Linked DNA regions of Saccharomyces cerevisiae S288C. Changing the gene in region 1 together with any one later gene gives a genetic interaction. Each region holds a gene or a part of one and is shown in the gene's direction. Other genes may lie near its edges.

What was found.
Region 2: mutations in QCR9 (region 1) and NCE101 together harm fitness more than expected from each alone (negative genetic interaction), as found in Saccharomyces cerevisiae (2 studies listed by BioGRID).
Region 3: mutations in QCR9 (region 1) and AIM33 together harm fitness more than expected from each alone (negative genetic interaction), as found in Saccharomyces cerevisiae (2 studies listed by BioGRID).
Region 4: mutations in QCR9 (region 1) and REE1 together harm fitness more than expected from each alone (negative genetic interaction), as found in Saccharomyces cerevisiae (2 studies listed by BioGRID).

What each region holds. Positions count from the first base shown.
Region 1 is NC_001139.9:858,108-861,864, reverse strand, and holds QCR9 (ubiquinol--cytochrome-c reductase subunit 9), read left to right. Parts: upstream 1-2,388; coding exon 2,389-2,391; intron 2,392-2,604; coding exon 2,605-2,802; downstream 2,803-3,757. Other genes in the region: E3 ubiquitin-protein ligase UBR1, read left to right, coding at 1-1,964; protein translocase subunit TIM13, read right to left, coding at 3,261-3,578. UniProt on the Saccharomyces cerevisiae protein: Component of the ubiquinol-cytochrome c oxidoreductase, a multisubunit transmembrane complex that is part of the mitochondrial electron transport chain which drives oxidative phosphorylation.
Region 2 is NC_001142.9:48,714-52,773, reverse strand, and holds NCE101 (Nce101p), read left to right. Parts: upstream 1-2,330; coding exon 2,331-2,362; intron 2,363-2,505; coding exon 2,506-2,635; downstream 2,636-4,060. Other genes in the region: RCY1 (Rcy1p), read left to right, coding at 1-2,145; YJL206C (uncharacterized protein), read left to right, coding at 2,839-4,060. UniProt on the Saccharomyces cerevisiae protein: Involved in a novel pathway of export of proteins that lack a cleavable signal sequence. May be part of the export machinery or may also be a substrate for non-classical export.
Region 3 is NC_001145.3:93,180-97,589, reverse strand, and holds AIM33 (cytochrome-b5 reductase), read left to right. Parts: upstream 1-2,220; coding exon 2,221-3,159; downstream 3,160-4,410. Other genes in the region: ALO1 (D-arabinono-1,4-lactone oxidase), read left to right, coding at 219-1,799; SCF ubiquitin ligase complex subunit UFO1, read right to left, coding at 3,349-4,410.
Region 4 is NC_001142.9:20,571-24,905, forward strand, and holds REE1 (Ree1p), read left to right. Parts: upstream 1-2,562; coding exon 2,563-3,159; downstream 3,160-4,335. Other genes in the region: hexose transporter HXT9, read left to right, coding at 1-630; YJL218W (acetyltransferase), read left to right, coding at 1,403-1,993; oligo-1,6-glucosidase IMA5, read right to left, coding at 3,771-4,335. UniProt on the Saccharomyces cerevisiae protein: Functions in the galactose metabolic pathway via the GAL83 protein and that it may control the level of ENO1.

The sequences.
Region 1 (3,757 bases):
ATCACATTCATCATAACTGCTTCAAGAGGTACGTTCAAAAAAAGAGATTTTCATCAAACGCGTTTATATGTCCTTTATGCCAAACATTTTCGAATTGTACTTTACCTCTTTGTCAAACCTCAAAGGCAAATACTGGTTTGTCGCTAGATATGTTTTTGGAATCAGAACTTTCTTTGGATACATTGTCAAGGCTCTTCAAACCTTTTACTGAGGAAAATTATCGTACAATAAACTCTATATTTTCGTTGATGATATCTCAGTGTCAAGGTTTTGATAAAGCGGTAAGAAAGCGGGCCAACTTTTCGCATAAGGACGTTTCTTTAATATTAAGTGTGCACTGGGCAAATACCATTTCAATGTTAGAAATTGCTTCTAGGTTAGAAAAGCCATACAGTATTTCATTTTTCAGAAGCAGGGAACAGAAATACAAAACTTTAAAAAATATATTAGTCTGCATTATGCTGTTCACCTTTGTCATAGGCAAGCCAAGTATGGAGTTTGAACCGTACCCGCAGCAGCCCGATACTGTTTGGAACCAAAATCAACTCTTCCAATATATTGTTCGAAGCGCTTTATTTTCTCCAGTTTCACTTCGTCAGACTGTTACAGAGGCGTTAACAACGTTCTCTAGACAGTTTCTAAGAGATTTTCTTCAGGGTCTTTCTGATGCAGAACAGGTTACCAAATTGTATGCTAAAGCGTCCAAAATTGGGGATGTTCTTAAAGTAAGTGAGCAGATGCTCTTCGCCCTAAGGACCATATCTGATGTACGAATGGAGGGATTGGACTCCGAAAGTATTATTTATGATCTAGCTTATACCTTCCTGTTGAAGAGTCTTCTTCCTACGATAAGAAGGTGCTTAGTCTTTATCAAAGTGCTACACGAATTAGTGAAAGATTCTGAAAATGAAACGCTGGTCATCAACGGTCATGAGGTTGAAGAAGAACTGGAATTCGAAGATACCGCCGAGTTTGTCAATAAGGCATTGAAAATGATTACTGAAAAAGAATCCTTAGTCGATCTTTTGACAACGCAGGAGTCCATTGTATCGCATCCATATTTGGAGAACATCCCATATGAATATTGTGGGATTATAAAACTGATAGATTTATCAAAATATTTGAATACTTACGTTACCCAATCTAAGGAAATCAAGCTACGTGAAGAGCGTTCTCAGCATATGAAGAATGCGGATAATCGATTAGATTTCAAAATATGTTTGACATGTGGTGTCAAAGTGCATTTAAGAGCGGACCGCCATGAAATGACCAAGCATTTGAATAAAAATTGTTTTAAACCATTTGGCGCCTTCCTGATGCCCAATTCAAGTGAAGTTTGTCTCCATTTGACACAGCCTCCTTCTAATATTTTTATATCTGCACCATATCTAAATTCGCATGGTGAAGTTGGTAGAAATGCCATGAGAAGAGGTGATTTAACCACCTTGAATTTGAAAAGATATGAGCACTTAAACAGATTATGGATTAACAATGAAATTCCAGGTTATATTAGTAGAGTAATGGGTGACGAATTTCGAGTGACTATACTTTCCAATGGTTTCTTGTTTGCATTTAATAGAGAACCAAGGCCAAGAAGAATACCTCCAACAGATGAAGATGATGAAGATATGGAAGAGGGAGAAGACGGGTTTTTTACGGAGGGAAATGACGAAATGGATGTTGATGATGAAACTGGACAGGCCGCCAACTTATTTGGGGTTGGCGCAGAAGGTATTGCTGGTGGCGGAGTACGTGATTTTTTCCAATTCTTCGAAAACTTTAGGAACACTCTACAACCGCAGGGAAATGGCGATGATGATGCACCTCAGAATCCCCCACCAATATTGCAGTTCTTAGGACCTCAATTTGATGGAGCTACTATCATAAGAAATACAAATCCAAGAAACCTCGATGAGGATGACTCTGATGATAATGATGACTCTGATGAGCGAGAGATTTGGTAGATTCAAGCCCTCTACTATGTTTTATAGTTGACATATTTGTATATAAAAACTTATACATTATTAAACATTTGCGCGTCGATTGACTTTTATTTATTATTAACAAAGAAGTAATACCAACCTAATTACAAATACTTCGAAGTGACTATCATAAGTTTCCTTATCTAGCGAAGGCAACTTTTGAACTCCCCAGTTGTTAATATGTATCATTATACACGACCCAATCAAACGCGGGGAAGTCAATGCCGAAAGAATTCTAGGACCTAAAAGCTGCTCAATCCTTGGGCCTTTCCCTAATGACATCCCCTCTCAAACTTTAGCTTAGCAGTTGTATTTAATGTCCTGTCACGGATAGTCAATAATCGTTGAAGGTTGATTTTCATATCCTTCGCAATTTCGTAAAGCAACAATAGCAATACGGACTAAAATGGTATGTTGGTGTGTGTGTGTGCTGCTTCACATTTCAGGCTAAAAATGTTATCCGTGGAATCTTCCTTAGCCAAGTATCATGGGCTTTGGAAATTAGTTTCCCACCGATGAGCGCAACGACTTAGCGAAGCTTATGAAATTGGTGACAGCAGCTCTATGAATATGTTCCATGCGTTTCCATTCAGGTTACTAACAATGCATAAATTATGAGTAGTCTTTTTCATCACTATATAAAACCTTTTTCAAACGAAACGCTGTTTTTGTTGGTACTATCTTTGCAGGTGCCTTTGTTTTCCAAACTGTATTTGATACTGCTATTACTTCATGGTACGAGAATCACAACAAAGGAAAATTATGGAAAGATGTCAAGGCTCGAATAGCTGCAGGCGATGGAGACGACGATGATGAGTAAACGCTGATTATGTCACACATATACGTGCAAACGCTCTCTCTCTCTCTCAAGCTATATAAGTGGCACTCGTCTTATTTATTATTTTTTTATTTTGGCTGGTTGTTCATGTTCAACCCAACCTCATAAAGGCACTCAACTTCATATTTTGACACAAATCTATGTCTCGCCAAAGCGCATTCAAATTTCAGAATGGAAATAGACACGAACGAGCCTGTCTGTCAGATGTTCACAAAATCCTTATTATAATTTTATATTCTACTAAAGGAAAAAGAGAATTAGGAAAAAGAATAACTCATTTTATGTATATACATATATTTTGTACATATCTATACCAAGCAAGTATAGTGCAATACTGTTCTTCGACGTTATTAAACGTAATAGCATTTTCTTGGTATCCTTTGAATCTTATATACAAGTACGAGTACATACTGCGCAGTAAATTGATCCTGATGGTGTGTTTAGATTTCGCCAGAAGCGGAGGCGTTCTGGATTCTGGAGATGTAAGCCTTTGATATGACATTCCAACTTCTCATATATTTAGCCAAACACTGGTCAATGCACGCATCGTTTCTGGTAGCGTATGGCGAAGTTAAGCATTTTTCAAAGCAGTTCTCAGAAATTTTGTTCACTAATTCAGTCGCATTAGCCACAGCCAGTTCTTGAGCAATTTGGTTTTTCAGCTCCTTGGCTATAGGGTTTGGGGTTGTCTTTGCAGTAGTGGCTGCTTCCTTTTGTTGTGATGGTGCACCGCCGCCAAAGATAGATGATAGACCCATTTTCTTGATTAAATAAGCTCAAACTGTTGTTGGAGAGAAAAGATTGATTGGTTTGAACTGACAGATATCCTACTTGAATCCTCTTTTTGTCGATTTTATAAATCTTAGGACCTAGGATTTTTTTACTCTTCGGCAACGCCAGGAAAACTAAGATACACCGGAAACAAGAGGAAGGAGAT
Region 2 (4,060 bases), on another chromosome or scaffold:
CCGTTGAAACAAACAAGAATTCTAAATTTTATCAAAAAGTACAATTTCTCGAATAAAAATGATATAGAAACATTTACTAGGATTGAAACTAATTTCAACATTCTTAGGGAAATCTTCATTAATTCTGTTCTCAAAGAGTCAGAATTGAATTACCAGTCTAATAATTTAGCTGCCGTCGCTCGTTTCATGAAAATTTTATTGATATCTAATGAGGAAAGCAATGCTATCGAATTTTTCAAGTCAAAGGCTGATTTGCCTCCCAGTTTAACGGTTTTGCCGTCTAATGATGAATTATTTTGGGCCGAACAACCAAGGGAAGAGGACAGCGGTGGGAGTACCGTGATATTTAATTCTAAAAATTTAGATACGTTTCTCAATCAGCTAAGGGATTTCCTCAACGAAAAGATTAAATTAGCGGACATTTTATTCAAAGATGAGTTCCCTGTAATATTACAGTTCATCGAGTCCTTTATCCAAGATATTTTATTAGATATTTTAAACAATATCTTATTAAGCTATAGTGAATTTTTAAAAGAAAATGGAAAGGATAGTAAAGCCAATTATGAATGCGTACCCGAACTTTATTTCACATTTATAAAAAAGTTTGATACTGAATTAAACGACTCAGTAAACGCAGGCGCAAATTTCCGTAAAGTTGTTCGTGACCTTTTAAACCTGTATCTCGAGCCCTTTGTTGTCAACTATATGAATCAGACAACTAGAGTATTTGAATCATTGATCAACTCACAATTAGCTAATTATGACACACAAGTTCAAGACAAGCAGCGTGAGCAAAACGCAAAAATTTATAACACTTTAAAAGATCAAACGGATGCTTCGAGTGCAAGTAACAATGAATTGCCGAATGACCTCTCAATAATTACTGAAACCTCCAAAACTGTCCCAGAAGCGGATTCAAAACCAAGTACGATCCATCAATCAGTTCATTCAACTGATATTTCTAATGATAAACTAGACTTTCTAAGTTCCTTCACCAAGATTTTCAAGTTCTCGAACAATGAAAATCAAAGGCTAAAGCAACAACTACAACTAGCCTACAACTTAAATTTAATTTCCAATAACTTGCAAAACATTAAATCGTTAATAAGTCTCGATTTATGTTACAAAATTTTACAGGAAACAAGCGAAAAGACGGATCAAATTTACAAATTTCATACGATTGAAAGTTTGCTACCATTGATCAAGCTACGCTGTCAAGAGATTTTCAAAATTTTAATTACACAATTGAATAAAAATCACGTTAAACCTGCATTTGAAAAGGCAATCCTGCTACTACAAAAATATAATCCTAACGAAATAGAACAAATAGAAATAAAATTCAATTCACTTTCGCCAGCCAATACTCAAGTCGAACCTTTAGTACAATTCACTGAACTTATCAATATAGGTGACATAATATTACAAATGATTTCCATTTTTTACAAGAACGAATTGATTCCCAAAAAAATTATCGATAAAAATAAAGATTTTCTTAATGATGTTATCCAATTAAAAAAAAATTTTGAGACTTCTATCGATGATTTTGTAGCCGAAGGTTTAAATATCGGTATAAACAAACTAATGGATGAAATCTCATTTGTATTCAAGACTCTTCAATTGCCTGACGATTATAATCCACCGCCACCCTCTAGGAATTCTCCAATAAGGGATATAAAGCCAACCAAATGTGCTATCAGGGTAGTCGAGTTACTTTCTAATCATTGCTTTCTACTGACTGGTGCCACAGACAAGGGTACTATTGACGTGTACCAACAAGAAATTGGCGAGAGATTCTTTAATGAAATCGTCAAACATCTGAAGAAGTGCTTCATATCTACGGAGGGCGCAATTTGGTTAATCTGCGATTTAAATTACTTTTACGATTTTATTGCTAACAAATTAAAACAAAAAAATGTTGTTCCCTATTTTGTTGGGCTTAAGTCTATTGGCCAGTTATACATCATTTCAGGCAAGGACTCGAAAGAGTTGGGAAAGCTTATTTCTGATCTTGGGAAATTCAATGGCATTTTTACGCAAGAGGAAATTTATGAATTTGTTCAGAGGAGAAGCGATTGGGTTCGTGTACGGAAAGACGTTGAAAAGGTAATGTACGGCCTAGGCATACGAGATTGCTGCATTATGTAAATTCCTATCAATGATTAATTATATTACTCTATATAGGTATGAAGTGCGGAAATAAAAGACTGTTCACATATTAGATTATTCAAGATTACGCGGGCTCTATTTTTCCCTGTTAGCCACACGCACACAAGGGGCATACAAATGTTCACTCCATTTATAAGAGGATTCCACACAAGATCATCGATAACATGGTTCAGTACGCTCCCTTTCTATTAGGAAAGTATGTTCATTCTTCATACGCTATTCTATTTTTTTTTTTTTCACACTTATTCTTTTACTAACGCATAGTTAACCATTTGCTGTTTCGAAGAGGCAACATCAAACAAGTCGATGTGCTCTTTCCCAAGCTGGTCTCTATTGCAGATTTTCTGATCCGTTATTGGCAATTATGGTAGGCTGTCTCAGCTACTATGTGTACGAAAGGAAAATGGGGCGTCCACAAGGTCATCATTTACACGAGCTCATAAAGAAGCGATGGGACGATCGCAAATAATAATCCGGCGTGAGGGGAGTATATATAAGTTTCTGGCGATATGTAAATACCATAATAATTAATCCTAGGATCTACCTTTATACGCATTTATCCTATAAAAACCCAATCTTTCAGATCCACAGTATTTTTATATGTGTGATTTCCTTGATTGTCTCAATTTAAAGAGTAATACATACAACTTAGACCAAAGAATTATTCAATAGATGACGCCGAAAGAATCTGGAAAGCCTATTTCGTGTGCAATGAAGAAGTTGAAAGGCAAGAGATCTAAGATTTTGGTTTTATCTAGAGATGCGGGCACCAACGAATTGAAGCCAACGAAAGGAAGAGCACATCGAGCTTGCATAGCTTGCAGAAAGAGGAAAGTACGATGTAGTGGTAATATACCATGTAGACTTTGCCAGACTAATAGTTACGAATGCAAATATGATCGCCCCCCACGGAACTCATCGGTATTTGATAGGGAAGTAAGCGATGATAGTTCCTTATATGCACAGAGAGCTTCCCACGAACGGGAAGATAGCAAGGGCCCTATAAGTTCCATTGATTACAAAAAGGTTGTAGAGACGATCTTTCCACCTGAAACACTCCGTCAAATACTTGCTTCTTCTTCTTTTAACAGCCAGAATTTTTTGGACACTATTAAAACGTGTCTACTTCAAGGACAATTAAATGTTAATCAGGTAATACGTCAAAGTCTACCAAAAGATACGCCTTGGCACATGCAAACAAGTGTTCCATTACCACCCAGAGAGATTGCCTTGAAATTTATTCAAAAGACCTGGGATTGTGCCTGTGTGCTATTTAGGTTCTATCACAGACCTACTATCATTTCTATCTTGGACTCGATATACGAAGCAGAAAAACATGGCAAGCAATATACTCCAGAACAAGTGAAAACACAACCTTTAATTTATTCTGTTTTAGCAGTCGGAGCCCTTTTTTCTAAGGAAGATCTCAGCAAGGATAGTAAAGCAACTAGGGAATTTTACACTGATGAAGGCTACAGATACTTTTTAGAGGCCAAAAACTCTTTGGACTTTTCTAATATTACTGACATCTATTCCATTCAAGCTATATTTATGATGACGATCTTTTTGCAATGTTCAGCAAACTTGAAGGCTTGCTATTCGTTCATTGGTATCGCTCTGCGTGCTGCGTTAAAGGAAGGTTTACACAGGCGGTCTTCCATAGTTGGTCCTACTCCGATTCAGGATGAGACAAAAAAAAGGCTCTTTTGGTCTGTGTACAAACTAGATCTGTACATGAATTGTATTCTTGGTTTTCCAAGCGGTATCGACGAATCTGATATCGACCAAGAGTTTCCTCTAGACGTCGACGATGAAAATATATCTACTATTGGAATAAAGTTTCAAGATTGGCGAACGATAAGTTCCTGTGGAATGAATAATAAGCATACAAAGC
Region 3 (4,410 bases), on another chromosome or scaffold:
AAAAAATGGAAATGAGGACATCTTCCATTGATATCCAGGACAAAGCAAGAGTAGAAGTAACTATTAGCAAGGAGAATTCCAAAAATAGTGAACTTCAAGGTAAGCAGATCTATAGTTTCAATATCTGATTTTCTGCTTTTCAAAACTTAAAATTCATTAGAAGGTAAAACAAGAACCCGTAAAATTAAAGTTACCGATATTATCAGGTTTTTCACCCCATGTCTACTATCCCATTTAGAAAGAACTATGTGTTCAAAAACTGGGCCGGAATTTATTCTGCAAAACCAGAACGTTACTTCCAACCAAGTTCAATTGATGAGGTTGTCGAGTTAGTAAAGAGTGCCAGGCTAGCTGAAAAAAGCTTAGTTACTGTTGGTTCGGGCCATTCTCCTAGTAACATGTGCGTTACTGATGAATGGCTTGTTAACTTAGACAGATTGGACAAAGTACAAAAGTTTGTTGAATATCCTGAGTTACATTATGCCGATGTCACAGTTGATGCCGGTATGAGGCTTTACCAATTGAATGAATTTTTGGGTGCGAAAGGTTACTCTATCCAAAATTTAGGCTCTATCTCAGAACAAAGTGTTGCTGGCATAATCTCTACTGGTAGTCATGGTTCCTCACCTTATCACGGTTTGATTTCTTCTCAATACGTAAACTTGACTATTGTTAATGGTAAGGGCGAATTGAAGTTCTTGGATGCTGAAAACGATCCAGAAGTCTTTAAAGCTGCTTTACTTTCAGTTGGAAAAATTGGTATCATTGTCTCTGCTACTATCAGGGTTGTTCCCGGCTTCAATATTAAATCCACTCAAGAAGTGATTACTTTTGAAAACCTTTTGAAGCAATGGGATACCCTATGGACTTCATCTGAATTTATCAGAGTTTGGTGGTACCCTTATACTAGAAAATGTGTTCTATGGAGGGGTAACAAAACTACAGATGCCCAAAATGGTCCAGCCAAGTCATGGTGGGGTACCAAGCTGGGTAGATTTTTCTACGAAACTCTATTATGGATCTCTACCAAAATCTATGCGCCATTAACCCCATTTGTGGAAAAGTTCGTTTTCAACAGGCAATACGGGAAATTGGAGAAGAGCTCTACTGGTGATGTTAATGTTACCGATTCTATCAGCGGATTTAATATGGACTGTTTGTTTTCACAATTTGTTGATGAATGGGGGTGCCCTATGGATAATGGTTTGGAAGTCTTACGTTCATTGGATCATTCTATTGCGCAGGCTGCCATAAACAAAGAATTTTATGTCCACGTGCCTATGGAAGTCCGTTGCTCAAATACTACATTACCTTCTGAACCCTTGGATACTAGCAAGAGAACAAACACCAGTCCCGGTCCCGTTTATGGCAATGTGTGCCGCCCATTCCTGGATAACACACCATCCCATTGCAGATTTGCTCCGTTGGAAAATGTTACCAACAGTCAGTTGACGTTGTACATAAATGCTACCATTTATAGGCCGTTTGGCTGTAATACTCCAATTCATAAATGGTTTACCCTTTTTGAAAATACTATGATGGTAGCGGGAGGTAAGCCACATTGGGCCAAGAACTTCCTAGGCTCAACCACTCTAGCTGCTGGACCAGTGAAAAAGGATACTGATTACGATGACTTTGAAATGAGGGGGATGGCATTGAAGGTTGAAGAATGGTATGGCGAGGATTTGAAAAAGTTCCGGAAAATAAGAAAGGAGCAAGATCCCGATAATGTATTCTTGGCAAACAAACAGTGGGCTATCATAAATGGTATTATAGATCCTAGTGAGTTGTCCGACTAGTCTCTTTTTGTCTCAATAATCTCTATATTTTACTAAAAAAGAATATATATATATATATATATAGCAGTGTGATGACTGTTCATGTACATTCTAATAACTATTCCTAGCTGCCTATCAAAGACTTTTTTTTTGAATTAGAGCTTTTTAGTAATCATGGGACCCTTTTTTCTTTTCATTATCCTTACTATAGTTTTTTTTTTTTGGAAAAGCCGAACGCGGTAATGATTGGTCGTATAAGCAAAAACGAAACATCGGCATGGCGTAACGTAGATCCATCTACAGGGAAGTTTTTAGAAATCAGATAGAAATGTATTTTGAGTGCTGTATATATTGCAGTACTTTTTTTCTCTCTAGGATTTAAGTATGTTTAGTATTAACTCATATCACATTTTTTCTTTGTAAAAAGCAACCATTCGCAACAATGTCGATAGTAGAGACATGCATATCTTTTGTTTCGACAAATCCGTTTTATCCATTTTGTACTGGATTGCTTCTGAATTGTGTGGTTACACCTCTTTACTTTTGGAAAACGCAAAATGGTAGAATCGTGGTCGTTTCATTGCTGCAATTCGTAGTACTTTATGCCACAGCGTTTATTTCGATTGGAACTGATAAATCTCTTTACAGAAATAAATGGGTCGCGCTACCGCTATCCAAGAAGACCCGCATTTCTCGTAATACTAGTCTGTACTGCTTCAAGTTAAAGTACCCATTTGAAAGATTGCATATTCCCATGGGATACCACCTGGCAGTAAGGGTTACAATAAATGGTGAGCGATTAGTGAGGTACTATACGCCAGTAAATGTTCCTAATACGGAGGGTCACTTGGAATTAGTAGTCAAGACGTATAAACATGGTGTCGTTTCTAAGTATTTTGATAAATTAAAAATTCGCCAGTATGTTGAATTTAAAGGGCCGTTAGGTGAGCTGGAATATGATCAGGACACCGCAACAGAGTTGGGTATAATCGCAGGGGGGTCTGGTATAACCCCTGTATTGCAAGTGCTGCAAGAAATCATACCCTCTCCAGAAGACCTAACACACATTTCTTTGATATACGCAAACGAAACAGAGGATGACATTCTCATGAAATCGCAACTAGACCACATGGCTAAGGAGTACCCGCATTTTAAAGTTCATTATGTAATTCATAAGCCAAACGGTAAATGGAACGGTGATGTTGGGTACGTAACTCTAGAGGAAATGAAAAGATACCTACCTAAACAAGCGGAGGACCATCGTTTATTGATTTGCGGACCACCTAAAATGAATGAAATGGTTTTGAATTATGCAAAGGAGTTGGGGTGGAGTAATGGGTTTCACAAAGGTAATGGAACCGATAAAGTTTTTGTTTTTTAATCAACTGTTTACGATTGATGATTTTTCATGTAAATAAGCATTAATTATATTTAGATATATATTCGTATTTTATTAATAATTAGGAGGAATAAAGTCCGACATTTTTTTCAAAAAAAAAAAAATAATATTTCACAACGAAAAATCTATAAATAAAATATTTAACATATGCTCTTCCAAATGTACATACTTTCAATTGATTTCACTCAATGACAACGCAATGGCCAATTGTAAGTCTTCATCAACATTATTACTAGCATCAACGCCAACAGAACTACCGATAGTGTTCTCAGTTGAGGTTCGTTCGGATGACTCTGCTGCACCATATGTAGCAAAATTATCGTCGCTCAAGGGCCCATTTCGTCGACCTGTAGTATGATTTCTAAGATGTCTTCTCCTTTCGTCCTCCACTCTTGATTGTCTGATGGCTCTGAGAAACTCTTCATCATCTTCATCTATCTCATCATTCGTATTATTACCATGATTCGCAGAGCTATTCGTTTGCGTCTCATATATCAGTTGAGATTCCTCCAGCGCCCTTCTTAACTGCTCATCTTCATCATCTCCGACAGGCTCCCCCGCTTCAGCTTGATTCCGTGCTTGCGCCTCCTGTGATTCTAAGAGTGCAATTCTCAACTGAATGTCGTTTTCTTCATCGGTGTCGCCTGAAAGTTCAAGGTCTCCACCATACGCATCGATCAATCTTGATATTTCTGACTGTCTTTTTCTTCTAAGGTCTTCATCTTCATCATAATATTGCAGCTCCGTGTTCAAAGTTTCATTCCACTTATTGCTTACTGTGTTTTTACCTTTAGTGGAATGGTGATGTTTCTTTGAATCACTTGAAACAAACTTTAAATAATTCAAAACGTTACCGCTTCCCATAATGATTTTATCCTGCGATACCTTCAAAAATTCGGGAAACTTCTCGGTTTTCAACACTGTCTTTATTAACTCGCCTGTCATCGCGTTCAATATTTGAAGAACATTTGGCAATGCTACCACAACTATTAAATTTGTCACCTGCGATACGTATACCTGCTCATCAAAACTTATCTTACATTGAACTTTTAAGCCTGACGAAGAAAGATCTCTTATATTGATAATGTATAAAGTGTTCTGTGTCGTCAAAAGACTGATATAGCAGCCGTCATCACCAGCAAATTGCCAGTTTTGTTCCCTTTGAGAAGTTTTTTCATCTATTTCAACTGCGCATATTTGTTCAGGCATCTCCAACTTTCTCAAATTGCCGAA
Region 4 (4,335 bases), on another chromosome or scaffold:
TCGATCATTATCGGTGTGGTTAATTTTTTCTCTTCATTCATAGCGGTATACACCATTGAGAGGTTTGGACGCCGTACGTGTCTATTGTGGGGTGCTGCTTCTATGCTATGCTGCTTTGCTGTGTTTGCCTCCGTCGGTGTGACAAAGTTGTGGCCTCAAGGAAGCAGTCACCAAGACATTACTTCTCAGGGCGCCGGTAACTGTATGATTGTGTTTACTATGTTCTTCATTTTTTCGTTCGCCACCACTTGGGCAGGCGGCTGTTACGTTATTGTCTCAGAGACGTTTCCTCTTAGGGTCAAATCAAGAGGAATGGCAATCGCAACAGCTGCAAACTGGATGTGGGGTTTCCTGATTAGTTTCTTTACCCCATTCATTACCGGGGCAATCAACTTTTACTACGGTTATGTATTCTTAGGCTGTCTGGTTTTTGCATACTTTTATGTCTTTTTCTTTGTCCCAGAAACAAAAGGCCTGACGCTGGAGGAGGTGAATACTATGTGGCTGGAAGGTGTGCCAGCATGGAAATCAGCCTCATGGGTGCCACCAGAAAGAAGAACCGCAGATTACGATGCTGACGCCATAGACCATGACGATAGACCAATCTACAAGAGGTTCTTTTCCAGCTAATCTTCCGGTTTTTAGTAACTGGAAAAAAATACATGAACTTAATTATTTATTATATACAATATTTACTTTTTTACGCCTTAATCCTTAACGGACTATTTGTTATGCCTTATAGAACTAGAAATTATATGATAAACATGAGCTACACGAGTTGACAGGGTGAACAGATTACTATAGCATCTTTCTCTCATGAATAATTTTTAAAATGTATAAATTTTGTAACGTTCCGAAGGGTGGAGTGAAATTCCATTCAAGAAACCAAGCATTGAGACAGAACAGTACAGAGTTCAGTTGTTGCGGACCGAGAATTGTAACAAGTAGCCCCAGAAACATTCATATGACGTCTGTTTCAAATTAAGCTTAGTAAAAGTACACATTTACCATAAAAAAATAGTACCAAGTCGGTGGCCTGATATCCTTATTTTCCTTCTGCCAATTGGGCAAGTTGGTACTAATATTTTAGGTGACACTGCCACTTTATTGTTATGGATTGAAATTTCTTAAATGTTCTCACAATCGGCCATAACGCTATTTCTCCGACGTAACCTCCTGTCATAGTGTGCCGTGCCTGAATAACTTAAAAAATTAAAGTTTTCAATGTGCCCAAAAAAATTCACAAATAGTACGCGCTCGTTAAACACCCTGTGACGCTGGGCCAGGCACTATTTAGCATTACTTCGAAAAGACGCAAGTATAAAGAGTGAGATCTCACGTACTACAACAAGAACATAGAGAAGCATTCTAATAAGCATATAAACAAGGCTTCTAGAGAAAAATGGGCGTATTAGAAAATATAGTACCTGGTGAGCTTTATGATGCGAACTATGATCCAGATCTTTTGAAAATTAGAAAAGAGACTAAAATAAAATTGCACGAATACAACACCCTTAGCCCCGCTGATGAGAATAAAAAGAGCCAGGTAATAAGAGAATTACTTGGTAGTTGCACTGATAACTTTATAATTGAACCGCCGTTTTACTGTGATTACGGAAGTAACATCTATATCGGAGACAACTTTTACGCCAATCACAATCTTGTTATATTGGATGGGGCCAAGGTAGTCATCGGTGACAACGTATTTATCGCCCCTAATGTTGGTATTTATACGGCAGGTCATCCAATTGACGTGGAAAGACGGCTTCAAGGATTAGAATATGCCATGCCTGTGACCATTGGAGACAATGTATGGATTGGAGGTGGAGTGTCAATAATTCCTGGAGTAAATATAGGTAAAAACTCCGTGATTGCCGCCGGTAGTGTTGTGATTCGTGACATACCAGAAAATGTAGTGGCAGCAGGTAATCCTTGTAAGGTGATAAGAAAGATCACTGAAAAAGATAGTACAACTACAAACTATCGAAAATGATGGATCCACTTTCTGGAGGAATTATCGAAAGCAAGTGTTGTCTTCTATGATTATGTACCGTATTTTCTTATAAGAATAAATAAAAAGCTAGTTCAGTTTTAGTCGACTAAATACGCAGAGAGATTATTAATTATTGGTATATGTTCTGGTTTAAGTTGCTCATTCTCAACTCGACTGTGTATAGTAGCTTCTTTCTGGTATAATCTATCTTCGAGGAGAAAATTATAGTTTACAACTTATGTAAAACTGCTCAAGTTCCAACCGTATAGAAAACGCGTGGCTGGTAGCTTTATGTTCGGATTTGAGAAATTTTCGGGGAAATAAGTACCGTTCTAATTTTTCAGCGCAAATTAACATGCGGAGAAACTTTAAACTGAAAATATGGCCACCTGCATGCGTCCATATGAAAGGGTCATCAAATAGCCTCGAACAAAACAAGTAACATTTTCGATGGAGTTAGAAAGGGATGATCCTATACGCACAGATTTCCTAGGTATTTAACCTGACCTAATATTAACAAAAGTCCAAGTGACGGCTTCTCCATCAAACAAGATAAATTACCAAACACAATGGTCGAATCTAAGAATACTGAATTATCGCAAGGAACATGGCTCAATAAGCCAAAATCTGTTTTTCAAGAGGCAGGAAAAGTCACTCTGGAAACAGATGAAAAAACTGACTTTTGGCGTGAAACATTTTACGGATTTACCCGTGATAGCGGTCATTTTTTGGGAGTAGAGACAGGTAGTGCTTTTACTGCACAAGTCCGTGTTCAGGGAAGCTACGAGAGTCTTTATGATCAGGCTGGTATCATGGTTCGTATAGATGATGGACATTGGCTCAAAGCTGGCATAGAAATTTCTGATGGCCACGCAATGCTAAGCAGTGTTTTGACAAATGGAAAATCAGATTGGTCAACTGCTGTTTATGGCGGAAATGCTCGCGATTTCTGGCTTCGTGTTACTGTTGAAAAGGGCGTTTTGAGGATTCAGGTGTCCTCTGATAAAAAAACATGGCCGTTAGTACGTTTGGCTCCATTTCCAACTTCTGACCATTACCTTGTTGGACCAATGGCTTGCACACCTGAGCGTGGCGGATTGAAAGTTACTTTCTCGGAATGGAGTCTCACAGCTCCTTTAGGAAAAGCTTTACATGATTTGAGTTAGTTCACCTATATATCAATATATAAAGAGGGGTTTGCTTTTGTTAAGAACAAGGCCTGCACCTCACTAAGATCTGTTGATTTGGCACTATGCTTTTTAAAATTTTGTTTATACTCAATTTCGTCAAGATTTTTTTTACTAGTACAATCCATACAGTTAACAAAATACTGGGCAATAAGGCGTGCATACTACGAAATTTTTAGTTTTGTTATAATAAACGACTTTTAGCTAGTGTTTTAAGATAAAGTGACGAAAGTTAGGGTGAGAATAGTCGAATGTATTTACTAATTATTGAATTCGTGGTAATTAGTACTTATGATGATGGGGTTTAAAGGGCTAAATTTAGACAATAGAAACAGTAATAATGATGTTTTCTATTTTTCTGCTGTACGTTGCTTTTTATTTTATATTTCTTCGGAAAAAGGTTCAGTGAATTTTCTGTCTTCTATATACATATATAAATTGCAATTGAAAATAGCGTACAGCGTAAGTTAAGTATCCAATGCTCACATATGAAAAGCAAAAGTAAAAAGAAATATACAAGTTTATTATTCATAAATATCGGCATAACTATTTGTTTCGAAAGATCAGTACGTTTATGTTAAATGTGCTCGTTACTTCAACAAGTAAAGTCTTCCTTCCCATGGCTGCAAGGTGCGGGAATCACCATTTGAGTTTGCATAGTTGCCAAAAAACATGGTGTAGGAGGCCTCATTATCAGGAACTGAAAAGTCCGTATTATCGCTACTGAAATTGAAAACAGCAAACATTTTTTTGTTATCTGTGTCCTTTGTAAACATGAATAGCTTGTCATTATCAAGATCAATGAACTGAAAGTTATGTCCATAAACAAGGATATCTTTGTGCTCCTTTCTAACTTGTAAGGCCTTTTTCCAGAAAAAGAAGACTGAGTTTTTATCTTTTAACTCAGCTTCTGCGTTGATTCCGTCTCTAAATGATTCATTCATGTCAATCCATGGTTTGGCATCCTTCGAGAAACCTGCAGAAGGCTCATCAGCACTCCATGGGAATGGTGTTCTCCCATGATCTCTAGAGATCAAAGCTAATGCTTCAAAAAACTTTTTCATCTTTTCAGAATCTTCACCATAATCACGTTTAATGGCGGCATATGTACCAGTACCTTCAACGCATTTGATTTGCTCAATTTTTCTGTTTTTG